Astyanax mexicanus: one gene and its partner. The protein of the gene in region 1 purifies or fractionates together with the protein of each later gene. This does not show direct contact. Links are inferred from orthologs where the notes say so. Each region holds a gene or a part of one and is shown in the gene's direction. Other genes may lie near its edges. The genes, in order: rfc4 and atad5a.

The links.
Region 2: the proteins of rfc4 (region 1) and atad5a purify together in Homo sapiens (affinity purification with mass spectrometry; 5 studies listed by BioGRID and IntAct, counting the BioPlex papers as one, with this or other methods). This does not show direct contact. The link is inferred for Astyanax mexicanus from reciprocal best matches to the Homo sapiens genes RFC4 and ATAD5.

Annotation. Positions count from the first base shown.
Region 1 is NC_064423.1:31,881,410-31,892,320, reverse strand, and holds the start of rfc4 (replication factor C subunit 4), read left to right. Parts: upstream 1-5,816; 5' UTR 5,817-5,926; intron 5,927-6,240; 5' UTR 6,241-6,250; coding exon 6,251-6,363; intron 6,364-8,268; coding exon 8,269-8,347; intron 8,348-9,140; coding exon 9,141-9,220; intron 9,221-10,302; coding exon 10,303-10,422; intron 10,423-10,512; coding exon 10,513-10,656; intron 10,657-10,807; coding exon 10,808-10,911. Other genes in the region: sos1 (son of sevenless homolog 1), read right to left, coding at 2,890-2,976. UniProt on the Homo sapiens protein: Subunit of the replication factor C (RFC) complex which acts during elongation of primed DNA templates by DNA polymerases delta and epsilon, and is necessary for ATP-dependent loading of proliferating cell nuclear antigen (PCNA) onto primed DNA.
Region 2 is NC_064410.1:53,628,219-53,639,574, reverse strand, and holds the start of atad5a (ATPase family AAA domain-containing protein 5), read left to right. Parts: upstream 1-7,052; 5' UTR 7,053-7,454; intron 7,455-7,662; 5' UTR 7,663-7,694; coding exon 7,695-7,748; intron 7,749-8,760; coding exon 8,761-10,547; intron 10,548-10,665; coding exon 10,666-10,744; intron 10,745-11,305; coding exon 11,306-11,356. Other genes in the region: prpsap2 (phosphoribosyl pyrophosphate synthase-associated protein 2), read right to left, coding at 883-1,055, 1,150-1,216, 2,853-2,905, 3,223-3,305. UniProt on the Homo sapiens protein: Has an important role in DNA replication and in maintaining genome integrity during replication stress.

The DNA of each region.
Region 1 (10,911 bases):
TAAAATCAGGGTAAACAGCCCTCTTATCATGACCATCCAATCTTTATCACCAACAATGATAATCTCAGAATGCTCAGCGCAGGATTCATTTTGCTCTGGTTAAGTTTTACACTGGTAAACGTTTAAATGCATTTAGATGCCTTAGCCTAGCTTGACATTCCCTCATAACAGTAGAGCATGACTGTAAACCTGGAATTGGAGCAGACGAAAGTTCAGACATATCTGATAATATGCTTCCTGATCACATTTGGAGAACCACAACACTAGAAAGCCACAATATTGACCCCACAATATACAATCTACCTGGTGATGGAAGAAAGTCACTGGCTTGCTTCTGCTGAATGTGTCACACTCACTAAAATAAACAAACCTTAAAAATATACAGTGAACTAATGATGACAGTCAATTTGAATTGCCAAAAACATGCATTTATTAACTATTTAAAATGTTAATGCTTTAAAATGTTGTAGGTGTATAATTTATGATCGATCATCAACATATCTGTGGCAAACAATTGTCTTAATAATAAAATGTATCAGAATTACTTCAATCAAGTCGCTGTCCAGTGAAAAACAAGTATCTCCATTTTTGTGGATTTTAGGTTTATTACATAATTTGAACAGACAAACTGTCCCTTACACTATGCCAAAGATTCTTGATACTGAAACAAACTCTTTTTCCATTGACTTCCATTGAAATTGAAGTATGTTTTTTCTCTCTCCGGTAAAGTTGCTGTTTTGGAGATACTTGTTTTTCATTGTACAGCAACAATATACTGTCCATAAAAATGGCTATTGTGGGATGGGGTCTTTTCAAGAAGCCCAACTGGGTACTAGTAACAACTCATGTACAAACCCACTCAGTGCTCAGGCTCACCTGGAGCCCAACTGGAACCCACCTAGCCCTTGATCCACTCATGTGAGACCCACATTGACATTTTGCTGGGGTAATGAGCTGATCTGATCTAGAAGACACCTAAGTAAGAGGTCTATTAAGCTTTGTTTGTGTTGACATACATCTACTCTACAGGTGAACAGCAGCTAAAAGTCCAGAAAGTGTGTTTCACAGCTGTCCAGAGAAACTGAGACACTGGTGCAATCATTCTGCCACTTGCACACAATAAATCAAGTTTGTGGATGATGCAGGTGAGGAATACCAGTGTTCTCGGGTGCTCTTATGTCTGTGTTACCTTCTGTAGCGACTATGATTATATTATATTAGCACACACAGATAATCAGACTTATAGGGTGATACTGTTACCCTTTTTGAATCAACAATCTTTAGTAGTGCAAACGGATGAGGATGTGTCTAATTACCCCCAAAGTTTCTTCCTTGACATTTGAAGGAGTTTGCCCTTGCTATTGTTTTCTTTGGCTTGCCCAATGGAGGTATTAGTTTAATATTTTATGTATTGATGATCTCTTGTCCTGTTTATTACTGGATTCCTGTAAATGTGCTTTGTGACAATGTCAGCTGTGTGCTATTCAAATAAATTTGACTACAGTGTCTATGCCCACTTGGAAACCACCTAGCCCCCATTCCTCCCATGTAAACCCAACATTGGCAACGTAAACACTAAAACATGGGGCAGGTGGTCTTCCAGTCATAGCTCCTCCCACTTTTCTATTCTCTTTCTACTGTTTTCTTTGACTTGCCCAATAAGAGGTATTATGTTAATATTTAATGCATTGATTATCTCTATTGTCCCATTTGTTACTGGATTCTTGTAAATCTGCTTTGTGACAATGTCAGTTGTGAAAAGTACCATACAAATACATGTGACTACAGTGCCTATGCCCACATACCACCCATGTAAACCCAATATGAGCAATGTAAACCCTAAAACATGGGGCAGGGGGTCTTCCAGTCTTAGCTCCTTCCAAGGTTTCTTCCTCTAGATTTCACTGTTGTGTCATGCGATTAAGTTATACAATTTTATACAATTTTGTTCCATCTCACGTCCCACATGTGATGAGAATGACAATTAAGTCTCACTGAATCCTTGAAATTAATGCTTTACATATTGTTTATGTATGTAATGTGGTGTGCATTGATTCCTGAAAATCTCCTTTGTGACCATGCCAATTGTAGAAAGTGCTATACAAATACACTCGACTACAGTGTCTGTACCCATTTGGAACCCATCTAGCCCACATTCCACCCAAGTAAACAAAACATGAGCAATGTAAAAACTGAAACATGGGGCAGGGGGTCTTCCAGTCTTTAGTTTCTCCGAAGTTTCTTTTTCCAGATTTGAAGGAGTTTGCCCTTGCTACTGTTTTCTTTGGCTTGCTCAATGGGGTATTATGTGAATATTTTATGTACTGATGATCTCTTGTCTTTTTTATTACTGGATTTCTGTAAATCTGCTTCGTGACGAGGTCAGCTGTGAAAAGTGCTACACAAATACATTTGACTACAGTGTCTATGCCCACATTCCACCCATGTAAACCCAACATGAGCAATGTAAACACTAAAACATGGGGCAGGGGGTCTTTCAGTCCCAACGTTTCTTCCTCCATATTTGAAGGATTTTCCCTCGTCACTGTTGTTTTTGGTTATTAAGCTAACGTTTAATGTATTGTTTATGTATGTAATGTGTCATGTACTGATTCCTTTAAATCTGCTTTGTGACTTGGAACCCACCTAGCCCACATTCCTCCCATGTAAACCCAACACGCGCAATGTAAACACAGAAACATGGGGCAGGGGGTCCTCCAGCCAGGACCAAGCTTGGGAACCAGTGGTCTAGGAGAACACTTAGCAAAAAGCCTACAAAGCTGTGTCTGCGTTGACCACGTTGATCTAGCTAGTTAACCTAGCTACTCTACAGAAAGTCAACAGATAACTAGTTACATGGTCCAGAAATCCAGCTGTGCAAAAGCTCACCTTGTTCAGCGACGGTACCAGCAGCCCCCTCCATTTAGGCGCGTTCTCCTCGCTGAAGAAATCGTACTGGAACTGTGTCCCTTGCATGACTTCGGTGGAGCTTCAGGGCCGCCGGTCAGGGTCCGGGTCCGTCCTGCTGAAGCCCTGGCCGGTGAGCCGTGTGTCACACCAGAAAGGCAGGCGCGGGGCCATACACAGGCCCGCGGCCGGGAAGGAGCCTGGTCGAGCGGACCGAGTGGAAATAGCAGCGACCTAATGCGACCATCGCATCGTTGTGGCGAAGCGCTGAGCTGTCTGGAGTCACCAAAAACAAGACGAAAACGTGCCTGAGTGGCTTTAACAGCTCTATAAACGCCCCAAGCCGCAGCCCGAGGCTTTAAAAACAGCAACTCCAGCGAAGAAACACGCAGCCAAACAGCTGGAGCTGCCCCTGTATCGGTTCCCTGCACTCCCAGACGCCGTAGAAACGGGCTGGTGCTAGCTCGGCTAAGCTAACAATAATAATAATAAACGGTTCGCTGTGCTAAGCTAGGCTAAGCTAAGCTAAACCAAACAGGGATTCGCTTACAAACAGCTAACTAATGCGGATTCAAAACTGAAATGTGTCACCACAGTGAAAAAAAGCCCGAGTTTAACTCTCCCCTTTTCGGTACAGTTTAGGACAAAAGCGGCTCCAGCTCCTCGGAACACATTCGTCCATTTTAGCTAGCCGGTGTTCTGTCGGGTTGCGCTACCCACCGATATGTGGTGCTTTGGGGCACTGCGCATGCGCCGAACTACTGTTGTTATTACTATTTTCTCGCTATATAGTTGTTGTTTAATAAATGTTAATAAATGTGGATTAATATAAACAAAATTATAATGAATAACACATACATTATCTTATATTTAACTTTTAACCAAACATATATTTTGATTTAGATTAAAGGTGGGCAGTATTCTGATTTTGTATTGTATCCTGATACGGTTTCATATCAACAGTAGGTTATACTTTTTTTTTGACAATATGCTTCATATTTTTTATTGCAGAATTTAGTCAATACAAACATATAATCAGCATAAATAATAGTAAAAAAAACGTTTCCCTAAACACAAAAGTATCAAAACTATGTCAATAATATAATAATAAAAACAACAATGATTAAAAAGAAATAATACTATTACTAAGCAAAATAAACTACAATAAAAAATAATATATATATAAAAGAGATGTGCTTTTTAGTCCAAAGGAATATACTTTTTTTAGCATATTAAAGACATCCTCAGTGCTGCCTTTTAACTGCGTTCAAATGTCGTGTCATGATAATTTGTGTATAAATCGAGTATTGTTAAAACTGTCTTTAAATAGTTTTATCATATCTTTCAGCCCTAATTCAATAAAGCCAAATGTGTCCCATATACCTACACTTTTGCCGGGGGCATTTTTTGATAAAAGCTAATGATATCAGACTATCGAATTATCTTCCCTAATGTTTTATTAAGGCATGTCTACCTATACATAAATACTAAGGTAGCTCGCCGTGACAAGGTAACCTAAATGGACAGAACACCGGATCTACGGGAGGGTGGCTAACCATTAATTTCGCCGTGGTGCTCTAGTTCAGAGACGGCAGATTGAGCTGGTGACAGCGCAGGCGGGCGCTGGAGAGAGTGCAGGATGTATGGAGGATGGTGCAGTTAGTAAAGAGGAGTTTTTACAGGTTTAAAGCGAGCCGTTCGCTTTATTTTGGGCGGTTGTTGTGACTCGGCTGCAGATGTGGATCATGCGCAGTGGGGGACAGAGACTCTCTCTCTCCGCTGGGCTGGAGGGACAATAACAAAGCTTTCTGAGCTATTTAACGCGCTGTTTCTCGCTCAGATCGATAGATAAAGCGTCAAAAAAACTGAGGATTTCAGAATGCCCCCAAAAAACAGAGGAATCAGTTCCCTCTTGCCGCTCTCTTCAGCCAATAAACCCAATGCGATCACTACGCTGAAGAGGTCGCAGGCACAACCAATTGATGGTCGAGTAGGAAGGGATAAGAGACTATACAAGTCAATTGCCGAGAAATAGAGCGAGTCCGCTGTCAGTAGAAGGTAGAGGGATGTGCCGGGCTCTCCTGTCACCTGCGGGTCAATATCATTATAACGCGCCTGGGTCTGAAGTCCAATGAATATTATAATGTTTTAAAAACGTTCTGAAGTCTAAAATGCTGCCCATCATTCATTACTAATTATATTGGGATTTCTGTGCGACTTTACTGAAATTTGTCAAATTGAATGACCTTCATTTCTTACGATTTTTTTTATTTGCTTAGTTATTCTTACTATCTTGTTATTGTTACTATCATTAACAATCATAATTATTACTTACATTATGATTAGAATTATATTACTATAGTTATATCATTATATCAGTACATCTGAACATAACAGTATTATGTACTGGTAATTTTTTTTACCAACAATTTGTAATACGATACATAGATTTTGACGTTTTATACAGTATTTTTAAGGACAGTATTAATGTTGGGGGGAATATGGAATACATTAGGTTCTCTAAAAAAAGAATTTATTTTTTGAAAGACCATAAAATATTTTTTTTATATCAGTGTTTACATTTGCATCACTAACGTATGCTGAAAATATGAAAAAAGTGGATTTTTCCGTATGCATGCAATACTTAAAATTTGAATACATATTTTGATTCTTAATGTAAAAATATATAATTTGATTTAAAAAATAAAATGAATTTTATATTAAACACAAAAACAGTGCAGCTTTGCAGCCATAAACAACCGATTTATAATGTTTTTATTTTCTTCTTTTTGTTTCTGTTTTTCCATATTTATTTGCTATAGTATCATTAGTTTCCTTAATAATATTAAAAAAAATCTTAATAAATATTAAATATAATAAATATTAAAAAGTGGGCGCGTGAACACGTCGGCGCCGGAGTGACGTAGTGACGCTGTCATCGTGTGCGCGCCTGGCGGGAAACTGGCGCTGCTTGTGTTTCAGTTCGGAGAGTAAACACTTTATAAACCTTTATAAGCAGGTAAATACTGGGTTGTGTGGACGCGCTTCTGGTTGTTGTGCATGCTTACTAATATTTTATATAAACCTGAGGCCTGTGCTGCCTTTATATTCTCTTATAAACTGAGTTAGAGACTGAAGAGTGAGAGAATCAGGGCTGTGTTGATTCTGCTGCTGCTGCTAGTATAGTAGTTATCCTAGCTGTTAGCATACTAACCTGTAGAGCTGAGCCTCAGTACAGTAACAGCTGCATTACTACTGCTGAAACTTTAAAACATCTGTCAGTGTTGTATGACCAATCATACAAGTGTGTGTGTGTGTCTGCTACTTTTACAGGGTAGGAAACATGCAGGCTTTTCTGAAAGGATCTACACAGAGTGTTAAACCACAGAGGGATAAGGCCACAGCTGGGAGCAGTGGAGAGAAGAGACAGAAACCGGTGCCATGGGTGGAAAAATAGTAAGTGAATGACTATATGTATTTTCTTTGTCTAAAGGCATTAGAGGTGGTCAATATTATATCGTATACAATATATCGTGACACAGAAATATCATGATATTAAAAATCGTAAATATCGTGATAATAGGGCTGTTCTGTCTTAAAAGTAGTCTATTATTCACTGTGAAGCTTTAGGTGTATTTATTGTATAATTGTTTTAGTTTGCAATTTATATGCATGCACAAAATATTCTGCAATATTATTTGCTGCATTATATTATTTTATGCTGTATTATTTATTTTGCCACATTATGATTATACTGTTATACTATTATACTATATTCCTGAAATGAATGAATTTTTTTTGTTTTCCTATATCGCCAAGAATATCGTTTTCGCAAAAATACCCTGAAATATCGTGATATTATTTTAGACTCATATCACCCACCCCTACTAAAGGCATTAGAGGTGGTCAATAAGGCACTAAAATAATATCACAATATTTTATGGTATTTTGCAATAACGATATTCTTGGCGACATGACAAAAATTTAATAAAATATTTTCAAGAATATACTGATCATACTATTGCAGTAAATGTATTTTTCATATAATTGCATGTAATATGATATGCCAACCCCTGTTAGAGATTTCCACCTGATTGTAACAGAAGTAAATGATCCAACATGTCATGATACTAATAATGCACTGTATTATAGCTGCCTTAAAGTGATCCATTGTAGAAGACTGGCCTACACTTCTGGAGTAAATTCAAATTCAGTCAGAACAGCCTATTCAACAACTTAACTTAAAAGGGGTGGCAAACCATGCCGACATGCAGTATTTCATCACACTTTTAATCACTTAAATATAAAACAACATTAAAATTCTATTGTTTGCAATATATGAGTAGCTAATACACGCTTAAATCTTGTTTTTTTTTAAGCTGTATGATATTTGTCAGCCTTGCTGGATGACATCTTTAGATTCTCATTTAAAAGTATGTCCATTTTAACAATTCTGGATAGGAGACAATGCAAAATCTGCATAATGTCACTGTCCAGCAAAAGCACTGCCTGTCTTTCTGACATATTTGTATTGGTCTGGGCATAATGTAAAATACAGTTGGCAATCAAAAAGGGAAAAACAGTGACAGGCTGTATGTTGTGTTGTGGTATGTTGGTAATAAGCAATGTAAATTATATACACCGATCACTGGCATACGCCATAATATTGGTATGGTGTTCAATCAACTTATATTAGAGAGGAATTCATGTTTTCCTATTATTAGTGATGGGTGTTTTTTTTTGTAGCACTGATTTGCAACAGTATGCATATTATTATTTTGTATTGAAATATACCATTTTGGATTTTGCATTATAGCTGTTTCTTTGATAACTATGGAGTAATAGTTTCGTATAGGTTGTTTTGATGTTGTGTGGTAGTGTGAGTTGTAAGGTGGTGTTGGTTGTATAATGGTAGTTTAATTTGGCTGTCAGAAAAACGTGTCTTACTTCAGGATATGTATTTTATCCAGTTATTGTGATAACGTTAACCACAGAATTGGTCTTATGTCTGGTGCCTTTCAATACCACTATTAACAATGAATCTGTGATTGTTATGCTGAATTGTGCAAAAGTACAAGAGCAGGGTTGAAGATATGTATTGTTTTTGGTAAAATTACATCACAGTATGCCACATTATAGACTTTTGAGTTATTAAGTTATAAAACACTCAAAAGTTTTAGGGTTCTTTATAGTTCATTACATTGTTAGTCAGGGTTGCTGGCAGTGGGTGATTGAATTAAAATCATACGTACTTATAGTTTTTGATGTTTTTTTTAAATGGCACCACTGGCTCTATTTTGTTTGTTCTAATGACCAGTATAACATTATGACTTATAGAATGTCTTTTTTTTTCTTTCACAGCAGGCCTAAGTGTGTGGATGAAGTTGCTTTTCAAGAGGAGGTTGTTGCGGTATTGAAGAAATCACTAGAGGGCGCTGACGTAGGTTTTCTTTTAATTAATTAATTTATTTTTTATTATTAAATATACCTTCAGACATGATGTTATATTAACATATTAATTAATTTATTTTTTATTATTAAATATACCTTCAGACATTATGTTATATTAACATATATTAATTAATTTATTTTTTATTATTAAATATACCTTCAGACATGATGTTATATTAACATATTAATTAATTTATTTTTTATTATTAAATATACCTTCAGACATGATGTTATATTAACATATATCTTAATCTTATCTATATGACATATTAAATTATACATTTTAATTCCTTTCGTTTTAACAGATTATTTAATATATATTAAACATATTTGCTGTGGAACAGATAATAAACAATAACTTTCGAATAAGCACACTTTGAGAGTCAGGTCAGGCCACTGATGGCTCGTGGTGAAGATCTGCAGAGCTGGGTTTACCTCTCTCTTTCTCTCTCTCTCTCTCTATCTCTCTCTCTCTCTCTCTCTCTCTCTATTGTACTATAAATAGTAAATGCTTGTTCTCTGCTGTAGTTTCTTCTCCTTGTGTTCTGTGCCACTTGTGTAATTGAATATGTGTGAAGCTGAAGGCATAAGCACTTCCCTCGCTCCACTGTGTCTCTGTCTGTGCAGACGAGATGAGTCCTTCTGACAGACCTCACCAATGCAGTGCATATTTTTAATCAGAATTGCTTATGTGCTGTTTAATCTTGTTAAGCGTATGGTTGACATTTGTGCATTCATCTGTGTTTGTAGTTTGTGAAAATCACTTTTCTCTTTGCATTTAGCTCCCGAATCTACTGTTCTATGGACCACCTGGAACTGGAAAGACATCCACTATTCTTGCTGCAGCAAGAGAATTATATGGGTAAAACCACCTTATTTTTATTGTTTATTCTACATTTTTATTGTATGCATTTCTGAACTTTTGAGAGACATGGCCACTAAAAATTGCACACATATGGGTTGGGGCTGCATTGTGATATTTTGTTCTGCAATATATATTGCAATGCTAAAAATACAGTAATTTCCCCAAATTTCAGCATGTCAGTAATTAAAATTGTATAAATGTTAATTGTTTTAGTTTGCAGTTTATATGCATGCACTAAATATTCTGCAATATTTTTTGCATTATATTATTATATGTGCATTATATTATTTTATGGTATATTATTTATTTTGCCACATTATGATTATACTATTATAATATATTCCTGAAATGAATGAATTATTTTAGTTTTCCTATATCGCCAAGTATATCGTTATCGCAAAAATACCCTGAAATATCGTGATATTATTTTAGAGCCATACCTAAAGGCATTAGAGGTGGTCAATAAGGCACTAAAATAATATCACGATATTTTATGGTATTTTGCAATAACGATATTCTTGGCGACATGACAAAAATTGAATAAAATATTTTCAAGAATATACTGATCATACTATTGCAGTAAATGTATTTTTGATATAATTGCATGTAATATGATAATTAAAAGATGTCATGATATCAAAATTGCAATTTGTGCGTCAATGATTGGCATAAAAATAAATGGTATGAGAGAGAAATTAATGAGATTGTCATGTTCAATGAGAATAGTATGTTTTTTTTTGTGTGTGTGTGTGTGTGTGTGTGTGTGTGTGTGTGTATTGACACAAAACATTATGTAATGAGACTATTGCACATGTGTACATTGCAATATCAATTTAAAAACAATATTATGCAGCCTTAATTGGCTCTGCATTGTTACACATTTCTGGTGAACATTTTCTTGCTTACTTCACCAAAGTTACATTGTGAAGCTAGTAGCATACTGAGCCCAGAGTAGAAATTACGACAAAATTATGACAAAGCGACATTGTCCTCTTTTACAATGCACTTATGTTTTAGGGTTAATGCTTCTTTATTTGGCCAGCTACATCAGCACTAAATGTACTCCCCTCTCTCTGCAGCCCAGAGCTGTACCGCCAGAGAGTGCTGGAGCTGAACGCCTCTGATGAGAGAGGGATTCAGGTGGTCCGGGAAAAAGTAAAGAACTTTGCTCAGCTGACAGTGGCTGGTACACGACCAGAGTAAGTTTGTGATGGTTTAAGAAGAATATTTGATCAGTAATATTATTAATATATTTAATTTGGCATTAAGTTCTGCTGTTGTTCTTTCAGTGGGAAGCATTGTCCTCCATTCAAAATCATAATACTGGACGAGGCAGACTCCATGACCAATGCTGCCCAGGCTGCTCTCAGGCGCACCATGGAGAAAGAGTCGCGCACCACACGCTTCTGCCTCATCTGCAACTACGTCAGCAGGTCAGGAGAGATGTTTACCCTTCACTCTAGCTACACTCTTAACTTTAGTTAATTCACACGTAATTAGCATCTTGTTTGCTGGCAGTTTGTCATGTTTCAGTCTGTTGTGTTTTTTAATTATATTCGAATTATGTGGGTTCTATTGTAACAGGATCATTGAGCCTTTGACATCTAGATGCTCCAAGTTTCGCTTCAAACCCCTCGCCAATGACATTCAGCGAGAACGGCTTGTAGAAATCTGTGAGAAGGAGAACC
Region 2 (11,356 bases), on another chromosome or scaffold:
CAAATAAACAATGGAGAACTGCACTGTCAGCAGCTACAAGACGTGACAGATAAACAGTTGTGACACAATTAAATAAATCAATCACTAATTACTAGGGCATAAATAAGAGCATAAAGTAAATAGTTTGAGTGTTTAACAGTTACAAGGCACATTTATCAAAGGGCTGCATGCCCTATTTCATTTCGACTCAGGACATCACTAGGATCTATGATGGGTCTTGAAGACCTTTCACAAAAAAACAATTCTTTATGAAACCAAACTCTCAGCTGTAATCACTTGAGGCAAGAACTGTAGTCTTTAAAGCTTGAAAGGGAATATATTATTTCTCCTTTTACACAAGTTAAAATAGGTCTTTGGGCTATACAATACATGTTCATGAAGTTCTTTACACACAATCACGCTCACATAATGAGATCTCACCAGCTCTATTCTTCTCAGTTTCAGAGCCGTTATGGGCTCTGTCACTTTTATGTAAATAAGCTGTTGCTGGCCATGCCATGTATATGCTGGAGCATTTACCACACCTTAGTGTTTGCTTGTGTTAAATGGCAAAACATAAACCACCTAGTTCATGCTTAACTGCGATAGAAGCACATTTTGAGACCTCTCTAGGGAGAATGTGTAATTGCATATAAAAGTGGAAATGTGGAAGAGCAATTTTAATAAAGGTTAATGCAAATGAATTGTTCTGTAAAATTTCTTTTATAAAATACTGTCAAAAAATAGGGCTCTGTGTTGCCAGATCACTCATGAAAGGATGGGCATAAAAACTACTGTTTTAATTAAAAAAAATACATAAAATATAAAAACACAGGATCGTCTTCTTTAATAAACAAATGCCTGTTTTTAAAAAAATAATAAAAAATAAAAAAAGCATGTCACCTGCTTTACACATCATAGAGGCCAGCAGCTTAGAGACGATGGAACCTCTTTTTCTCATTTTGCACTGTTTACTGTAGGGAAAATAGGGAATGACTCCGATGATATTCCGGGCACAGGAGGTTCTGCAGGCATACACCATAATGAGCAGTTCCATGATGGTTGTGTTGACATCCCTGTGGGAAAAACAGATCAAAAAAAGGGGCTAAATGAACACCCAACTTTTAGTGACTGGGGAAAAATAAACACTCAAATCAATGTGGGTCTTACTTGGATACAGTCTGGATGATGAAGACATCTTTACCACGCACCGACTCCTGGATCTGAACACGCGTTTCTGTGTAAGAAAAAAAAAATCGCTTCTGTAAGACAAATCTATGAAAACTCTTTTCTTATGATATAGAAAGGGTGGTATTTCCACTATGATACAATCTATTACACTCTAATACACATGGTCAAAACAAAGAGAGGGTCTTTTTAATTGGTGAATAGAGGATAGTGGCTCAGCCACCCAATTTGTTTTGTCTGCATTATCCAGCATGGAATGCAAAGAATGAGCAGCCTCTCTGCAAAATCAACAATTCAGACTGGGCCACCAAGGCCAGTTATCCCGACCAGGACAACAGACAGACATTCCCAGGACTAATTTGCCACTGAGGAAGTCCAACTATCCTGTAAACATCCATAATTCATTTAGAAATGTAATGTATTATCATCAAAATCATAATCTAATAATAATAATAATAATAATAATAATAATAATAATAATAATAATAATAATGTGTTTAAAACACGTTTTAATCCTTTAAGACGAGAATTATGTAACACTGATGTGAAAAATATATGAATATAATAAATATATAAATGCTGACTCTAATGTTCTAAGAAAATAATATTTAATTACTTTTTTTATTGGAAGCCTTTTTATTTCACAAACCATCTCTTAACAGTAAAATAAACATGATTAAATGTATTCTAAATCAATTAACCTACTTTGTGGTCTATCCTGCACTGTAAAAATGTTTCTTGTAAATCTTTACTGCAAGTTAACAGCAAAAAAGTTGTTAGTAAAGGATTGTAAAATTACAGAAAGATCACAACATATTATTTTATAATAAGAATTGTAATTAATACATTAATTACAAATTATTGCAGCTTTTGTAGAATAAGCTTTTGCCTAAATAAATACACAATAACACTGTAATTATTATTTACAATAAATATATGTAGTTTTAAGTTTTGGGGGTTTAGTTGCCAGTGAATATATATAAAATATATATATATACATGATGTCCATTATAATGGACACAGAGTCTGAAGGGGTTAAAATGTTGCTCAGTTGTGGTGTGTCTCAGAACTACTGTCTGACCCCAATTACTTAAGAGGAAAGCAGAAGTGATGAGATGAGAGTCAGTTAAGCTGTCCACACAACCATGCTGACTTGACAGGGCGTTTTAAATGCAAAGCACTTAAATTCTCTACTTATACCTACAACCTAACAGTAAGGTGGGCAAATTATTCCACTGCAAATTATGTTTATTAGCAAAAAGTAAAAACTTGCATCTGTCTACAATAAAATAAAATGTAATTATATAACCTTTTCAAGACAAGAGCAAGATGGATAAAAGAAGTCCTAAAAGATTCTGTAGAGCCCATGTGGAATGAGCTAAAATTCCCCAGAAACACTGCAAGAAGCTGGTATCTGCCTATGCATCATGTCTGCAGCAGAACATACCAGCATAAAGGTGTTTGAGGTTGAATAATTGTGAGAATTGTGTAGTTGTTTTGGGCCATTTCAATTGTTATTTTTTTATTGGTTTATTGTATTGCAAATAAATGCACCATTTTTAATTTGAATCATTTTGAGGATGTGTTTACCCACTACCTATAAAACCTAAAAATAGATATTTTTGTAACAGATCCGACCACAGACAGATACCACTTGAGATACAGCACACTGGGTTTCATCTTACCTCTATTTGCTTCTTGATACACTTGCACCTTGCCAAGCTCCACACCCAATCGTCTGAAGTAAATAAGAAGGAAAAAATAATCATCAGTAAGAAAAAAAAAACAGTGATTTACTAAACACAGAAGACTAAAGGCGAAAGGTCTTGAAGGATCCTTAGTCAATAATTTCACACCAGCTTAGGTGAATGATTAACTGAATTATTGGCCAACTTCAGGACAGGCACATACTTGCCTTTCTCAGATTAGAAGCTGCACTTTAAGCTGGCAGGTCAATATTTCCACCAGACAAAACATTATTTTACTAAACACAACACAAAGCTAAACATCAAATGTGAATCTAAACAACATCAGAATAAATTAAGTTTAACTTACTCTGCGATCCTTTTTCCCAGCTCCCTGCTGGAGGGGTTGGAGTTGGCCGTAAAAATGACCAGGCCTCCCTTTGCGGCGTTCATGTCCAGTTTCTTCTTAGTTTCTACCTCGAGGGACTCAGGCAGTGGCTCCCTGGGCTCCCAGGCACTGCTGAGCCCTTCCTATAAACAGTTTCACAAGCAGACTGTTAGTTTAACACCACACCACACAAGTATGCCTGATCAAATCCTGTAAAGAAAAAGAGGAGGAATATGATACAATCAGCTGTTAGTAATTAGTTGAATTAAGTACTTGAATTCTACCACGGTTTTTTAATTAGTCTAATTTTGGTTTATGATGCCAAACCAGGTAAAACATTTTTAGAAGCTATTTTACCATTGAAATATAAGAATCACTTGAAAATAAACCCTATGCTCAAATGGTTGTACACACCCTTTCTAAAGAATACATTCAGATACTAGAGGGGTATAAAGCAGAGGTGGACAATATCACTTATTATAATCTCTCCAATCATACCTATAATACACTTTTAAGCATATCATGCACATCCAACAGTGCTTAAAGAACACTGACCGAGCTGTAAATTTAATTACACAGAGCATACATAATCATGTTTAACAGGATGGGAAAAAAGAATAGGTTTAAAAAATACTGTGAAAATATAAAACAATTGTTTCTTTAGTTTGTTTGTTTGTTTGTTTGTTTGTGTTTAAAGCCAATTTAGCAGCTGTGGCTATTTCATGGCTAATACAAGTAAAAGATTTCACTCAATAAAAAAAATTAAAAAATACATTATAATACATAATACATTATAATACATTATACATTATAATACATAATACATAAATACACTAGATAAGGTTGGTCACATTAATAGACTTTAAAAATTGTAAAAGTTTTAAAGGTGAGACCTTATTAAAAATATCTACAGTAGTCATTTCTGTAAAAAACTGCTGTCTTTTCACTCTAAGAGCAGGACAAGATAAAATATGGTTGATTGATAAAACATTGCCACAGTGATCACACAGGGGAGGTTCATCTCTAATTAGTAAAAAGCCATGGGTGAGCCTAGAATGTCCAATCCTACACCTTGTATAAACAACTTGATCATGTCTACAAGAAAATAATTGAGTTACAGTTTGTTTCACAGAAATGCAGATTTCATGCAGCTTATTGTCATCGCAGCTGTCCCATTCAGCTTGCCATTTATCAATTATATAGGACGAAAGTACAGGTTTGATATCAGAGACAGGGATCTGGCACTCAGAGATGTTTTCATTCAAAGCTCCTTTAGCAGCACTATCTGCCTTTTCGATACCAATTGTTTCTTTAGAATCAGTCTCTCCTGATGACTTTTGAATGTGAACATTTGTATTAAGATAAAGAGAATGTTTTTTTTTTTTAAATATCTTTAGGTTATTTAAAAATGTTATTGTGATGTTCTGCAAAATATAGCGCGATTTAATAAATAAAGGAATTTCAAATATTTCACAAAAATTCTAGGATTCAAATGACCATGATTAATAACAACAGTTGTATGTCCAAAACTGGAGTAAAATAAATAACACTGGGCATATTATATTGCAATTATGTATGGGACAGCGCAAAGAAAAACTGTTATCCTGACAGGCCTATGTGGAGCAGTGTTGTTGTACTACAGCGCTCCATCTAATAATATTGTTTCTTCAGAATCTGTAACTCCTGATTCCTTTTAATGTGAACATATGTATTCAGATATATATCATTATTTGGGAAAATATCTTTAAATTATTGAATTAAAAAATGTCACTGTGATGTTTTGCTGTTCTGCTATAGTGGGATATAATTCAATGCAGACATTTCCACAAATTTCACAGAAATTCTAGGATCCATCCAGTCATGATTATTAACAGTTTGTGTTCAAAAGTGGAGTAAAATAAATTATACTGGACATATTGTATCGCAATTATTTATGGGACAATGTGCACAAAAACAGTTATCCTGACAGGCCTATGTGGAGACGGGTTGTCTGATACTACAACGCTCCATCTAATACTTTAAGGGTTAGTTAGGGGGTTTGATGATCCCCAGTTCACCTTATCTCTAACAGTTATTAAATTAATTTAAAGCCTTAAAGCAATGCTCCAAATCTAACCTAGTTATCTAATACACTTTCTGAACAGCAGAAACAGTTTCTCCTACAAAAACAAGACAAACTGTTGATTAAACCGTTGAAATCAGAAGAAAAAATGAATAAGCACATGTCCCAATACTTCTGTCCACATAGTGTATCTGAAAGTGTCTCCAAGTGCCCATGACAACAAGGCTTTCTCGTGACAAGAAACCAACCACAGGGAAATTAGCTAGTTAGCATGTAAGGCTAGCTAACCGGTTATCTTAGCTATGTTTCAGCCTTAAACATGAACCAACCACTTCCAAAATCAAATATAAATCTAAACATGTTTACAGAGGTCTTCAAAACCATTCTAAATTCATAAATCTAGCCCAAAACTAGAGATAGACACACACTCTTCACTGGAGCTGGGCAGTATATGTCCACATATTATTAATCCATCCCACGATTTTGTTCCACTTCACAGGGCTGCTCTGCTGCAGCTGACCTATCCCCACAGTTGGAACGAATTCCTGGGCTGGATTTTTAATATATGGACCTGGACTCCGCAGCTCCGCTCAACAGCTAGCTGAGTTAACCTAGCTGGCTAACAGGCGCTACTACATATGCACTGCACTGTTAGGAAATGGAGAAAGCGTGAAAAACCACACCAAAAGTCACGCTAAAACAGCTGTAAATACACATTAAATGAGCTGAACTGATTTAGTGGATTCTCTCACCAGTTTTGTCTCCGTTCCGCCTCCCGACTGACTTACTTTATTTCATGGAGTGCTCGGGTTTAAAAGTGCAGATAAGAGCAACAGCGCTGGAAATAAGGAATAACCGTCAATCGCTGCGCGAGTTTTCAAAATAAAAGACTTCATTCAACACAACCGGCCGCATAAAATCAGGCGCCGTATCTGTAAATCAGAAGATAATGTTTAGTTAATAAGTTTAGAATTTCTGCTAAATATTACATAGATAAATACGATTGAAAAATATTATTATTTTAAAAAAGGATTTGACTTTGTACTATAAATCTTGAAAAATTACCGAGTAAATAAAATGCCCTAAATGTGAGTTTTAAAAATTCATCCCTTGTCGGTCCACTTATTTCTCAATTTATTTATTTATGAATTTTGTTATTAATTATTGTTTTATTTCTTTGTTTGTTTGTTTTAATCCCCTGGTTTGTTTCCTTAGCTACGAACTGATTAGTTTATCGAAAGCCCAGTTTATTTAGTTAGTTTAAAGGTGATGTAAAGTATTACATTGTATTAGTAAAGCCTTTAAACAGGAAAAAAAGATTCATTCATGTGCCTGAAATCTGGTTTTTCTTCCTAAATAAGATTTTCTTCCTAAAAAAATTATTATACATTATTATTATTATTATTTCTATTATTATTATTACTAGTAGTAGTAGTAGTATGTTGTAGTAGTATTAGTGGTATTATTATTATTTGTTATTTATGTAATAACAAGCCAACGCATGCTGTACACACAAATAACCACAATAATATATAAAGGGAGTTTTTAAATTATTATTATTATTATTATTATTATTATTATTATTATTATTATTATTATTATTATTATTATTATTATTATTATTATTATTATTATTATTATTATTATTGAAAAATAAACTCCTACTACATTTGTAAAATTACGCGATATCCTGAACGGTGAGGTGACGAAACTCGCTGTGATTGGTGGATTTTGCGCGGCGGGGCGGGCTCTACAGTTTGGCGCCATTTGCGGGAGAAGGAACTGAGCGGACTGAGTGTAATGTAGCTAGTTGTATTTTATCTGTTTAGTTTTGTAGGAAAGAAAAACGGGCAGTTTTATTGTGTTCGGTGGTGTTTCTGCTTATATTAATGTGTGTGTAGTGTAGCTCACCCGTGTGTTAGGTGTGTTTCAGTAAGCTGTAGACAGGTATCTGTTATTGTTATGGAAGAGTAACGTTAGTTAGCTAGCCGGTTAGCAGCTGGCTTTGTGTTCGGATTTCTGTTATTCGGAACCGGTTCAGTCACTCGGTTTTAGTAACATGAGTTTGATATTAATGTAATTAGTGACAGCTCTCAACTGTGGGAGGCACGGACCATGTGTTATTGGCGCTCAGGTATCATGATTAACTCTGGTGAGTGGCTCTGTAAATGTCCTTATTCTAGAGGACAGTATCAGTACAGTATAGCCTAGGTTCCCTGTTTTGATTAATGTTATATAAGTTAAACTAACTAACCTAGTCAACCTACACGTCTTTAAGGCCTTACTGTTAAAACTCAACTGTGTTTAGATGATTATAGCTTTGTGTTTTACTGGTACTGTGCTGCTGTTTTGTTTTCTAGATTTATAACTTGGATATCAGCACCCACTAGCTATGGCTGGCGTTGTCGCAATGGCAGCTGTTATTGAGGACTTTGAGGCTACTCAGGTTTGTCATTATATTGATTTTTAACTAATTTATATGCATTTTGGTGTTTATCCTAATGGGTTAACAATTAAATATGTGTGTATATACATATGTGTATATATATATATATATCGTCATATTATTTTAAATATTTAGTCACGTGGCCACAATAAGAAGAAAACCTGAATGAGCTGCTTACAGAATTTATCTGATTCAATTTCCAGTTTGGTATCAATAATCAGAAATGGGTCTGAGCTCTTATGGGTTAAAATGAAAAAGACAGTGCCTTCGCTAAACTGAAAAGAAAACAGTGGTTTCATTTCAATTACTCTTTGTTATTTGGTATAGTTTTTATATTCCATATCAAATGTCTGATTTTTTAAAATAACTTAAAGTTCATTCCTCTTCAAAAGTGTTTTGTAATTGCATTGTTATGCTATTGTATTTTTACTTTTATATCAGTGGCATACAGTGAATGGTCTTAAAACGACAATAATATTGTTTATTGTAAGTGAATCAAGACATCAAGCTGCTCCCGTTCTGCCTATCATTCTCAGAACTTTCCACTGCTTACTGTAATTACTACACTAATAACACAGTACTCTACTTTTACTTATAGTTCTTCAGTTGGTAACTGTATAATTGTATTGAATAAACTACTTGGAATACTTAAGTACAAAATTTTTTTAGTACTTTAGTACTTACACTTGACTGTGGAGATTTAAGAACAGCTTCTATTTGTCACTTTTTTGATAGAGCAGTTGTACTTTTGCTCAAGTCTGGGTCTCTAGTACTTTATACATGTCAGCTGGCCACAGATGGAATTTGACTTCTACCTTTAACCCATCTGATCACACACATGCACAATAGTGAGAGAAATAGTTTAGTAAACTGAGAGAATGGATTGATAAATTGACCATTTCATTAAATTAGGGGAGAGCTTTTTGTCTCTGCATATTATTTTTCCTCCTTGATAATTTGGGTTCTGTCTACATTGCTTTTGCTAAACTACAGTATTTGTGTATTTATTCAGCCGTGCAAGAAGCTGAGGAAAGATGATGATCTGCCGCCTACGAAGACCATCACAAACTACTTCATGCCCTTACCGAAGTCTGTGGAAAAGCCTTTCTCTCCTCCTCGCTCCAACAACATTATGGATTACTTCAGGAAGACTTCACCTGCTCAGGAAAATATTGTTTCTTCCCAAAAATGCAGCCCCCTTCAGTCTGCAAAACCAGTCGGTGGTGAGGAAGCCTCTGCTAAGCTGGGTAGGGCACCAAGGCAGAAACGCTCCAGAAAACAAACAAAGGAGCAAAACAAGCTCCAGGAGGAGGAGGAGGAACAGAAGGAACAGGAAGATGCGCTCAATGATGACTGTATATTATTGGGGAGTTCCAGTGACTCTTTATTAAAGGAAGGTGGCAACCTCTCCATGTTTGGCAGTGATACAGCAGCCCTGCTCTCTCAGATTAGCGGTGATATCTGCTTAGATGAAGAATCTCCTAAAAGAAAGAACAACAGGGAGACCTCTGCAAATGGCGAGAAAGTGAAGGATGTGTTATGTAATCGAAAAAGTAAGAACCCTAGCATGGATGGTGACGGCTTAACAAATGATGATGCATCTCCTGTAGAAGGGAATGGTAGAACTATAAAGACTGTGGTACGTAAAAGTAGAAAAGCGAGAGTCAGCCAAAGTGACTCGTGTACTGAGCATGATCAGTCTCTTGCTAATGCCAGCATGGATGTCAATGTGGATGAGACTTCTGTGCTGAACAGAAGCACTGTTACAGTGTCCTTTGAAGACTTCTTACACAGTCAGAGCCAGGGAGAGGAAGAGGACCCTGCAGATCCTGAGCCTAACAAACATGGTGCTGAAATATGTAGTGGTGCTAAGTCTTGTGAGTCTAATGAAGTAGTAATTGCAGCTCCACAGGTTTCCCCAAGAACCCTTACAGTCCAAGCTGAAGTGCATCCCATCTCCCCAAACCAGGAGTCAGCAAAGAGCCCTGAAATGAAAGTGGCATCAATTTTCAGTAGAAAGAAAAAGGATTGTCAAGCAAAAGATAGCAAGATATCTTCCTCTTCTTCCACCCCTCAAGTAACAGCAGACATTCTGCCTGACCTTAAGAGGAAATCCAATGTTGTTCTTCAAGAAGAAGATCTGGAGCTGGCAGTAGTTGAATCCAGCTCCACTCCAAAGTGCACTCAAGAAGAAAGGAAGCTGTTCATGAATGCCTTCAAGCAACCAGGTATGGATGGATCTAAAGCTAAAACCAGCAAGGCATCTGCAAAAACAAAACCAGTGCAGGAAAAAGCAACAGAGATTGTAGAGAAAGAACCTGATGAGAAAGCTGATGAAAGCAAGCCTGATGAGCAAGCCAGCGCAGAGCAAAACCAGAGTACAGAACCAAAAAGTTCTGGCAGGGTTGGAAATAAGCGATCTAAGAAGTCTGGGAAGAAAAAACAGAATAAAACATCTGAAGAGGCTCCAGAATCTACACAAAAGCAAGAGAACCTTCCAGCATCAGTGGAGAAGGATACAGAGTGTCCACAGAGTGGCTCTGCTGATGATCAGGAATCGCAACCTCCCAAGGAGGTTAGAAGATCTTCGAGAGAGAGCACACGCAGACAGGCTGTTCCTTCTGTACCTGAGAGGAAGGCATCCCCGCGTAGAACAAGGAGCCAGGAGAAGGTGAAGGAGCCTACAGTATCTCAGGATGAGCCAGCTCTGCCTTCTACTCCAAAACCCCTTCGATCCAAGAAGAGTGTTTACAGGGCTGAGATGCTTTGCCCACCTGACAAAAAAGAAAGCCCTATCAGGTGGGTTTCGGAGACTCATTGATGGCTAACATGTTGTTCTGAAACTTGTGACTGAGCATGTTTTTTAGCAGATATAATTAATAGTTAATGTGTTTTGTGTTTGTGTTTCTCCAATCAGAATGAAATTCACAAGAGTGTTTCCATCTTCTGCAACAAAAATCGGAGATTTTAATATATCCAGTCCTCTTTCTGCACAGGTAGCTTATATTGTGTTCTCAAGAATCTGCTTTTTCTATTGTTTCATTAATTTACATTATTACGTAAATCCCTGTAGCCTCTGTACATCCAAATGTTTTGCCAAAGTTAAGTTTTGTTTTCATGCACTATAATTATGCTTAGGAACTTTGTATGATGAAGGCTACCATGATTAACAGTGACCATTTTAAAGATGGTAAAAGACAGTTTAGGAAGATGTCCACACCAGATTTGTATTTGTACTTTCAGAATGTCTAGAACAACCTATAAACAGCTGTCTGGCAGTGTTTCCAGTCACTAGCCATATTATGCCAGTATAAGCTAGTATGTGGTAGTATAGTGAGTACAGGGTTGTAGAGGCAGTATAAGGTAGTGGAGAGACATTTTGCCTATGTGTTAACGGCAGTTCATTTTGTTCATAGACTATATGTCAAGTAATACGAATGAGAAGGTATCAGTCCTTTTTCTGTTTAGGTATTTTATGTATATTTTCAAAATTATCAAAACATCAGGGATAGAAATACAGCTAATGAATACCTTTTTGAAATAATTTCTTTTGACAGGATTCAAATTCACTGAAGAAAAGGAAACAGGCTAAAAAGTTGGTCCAGAAA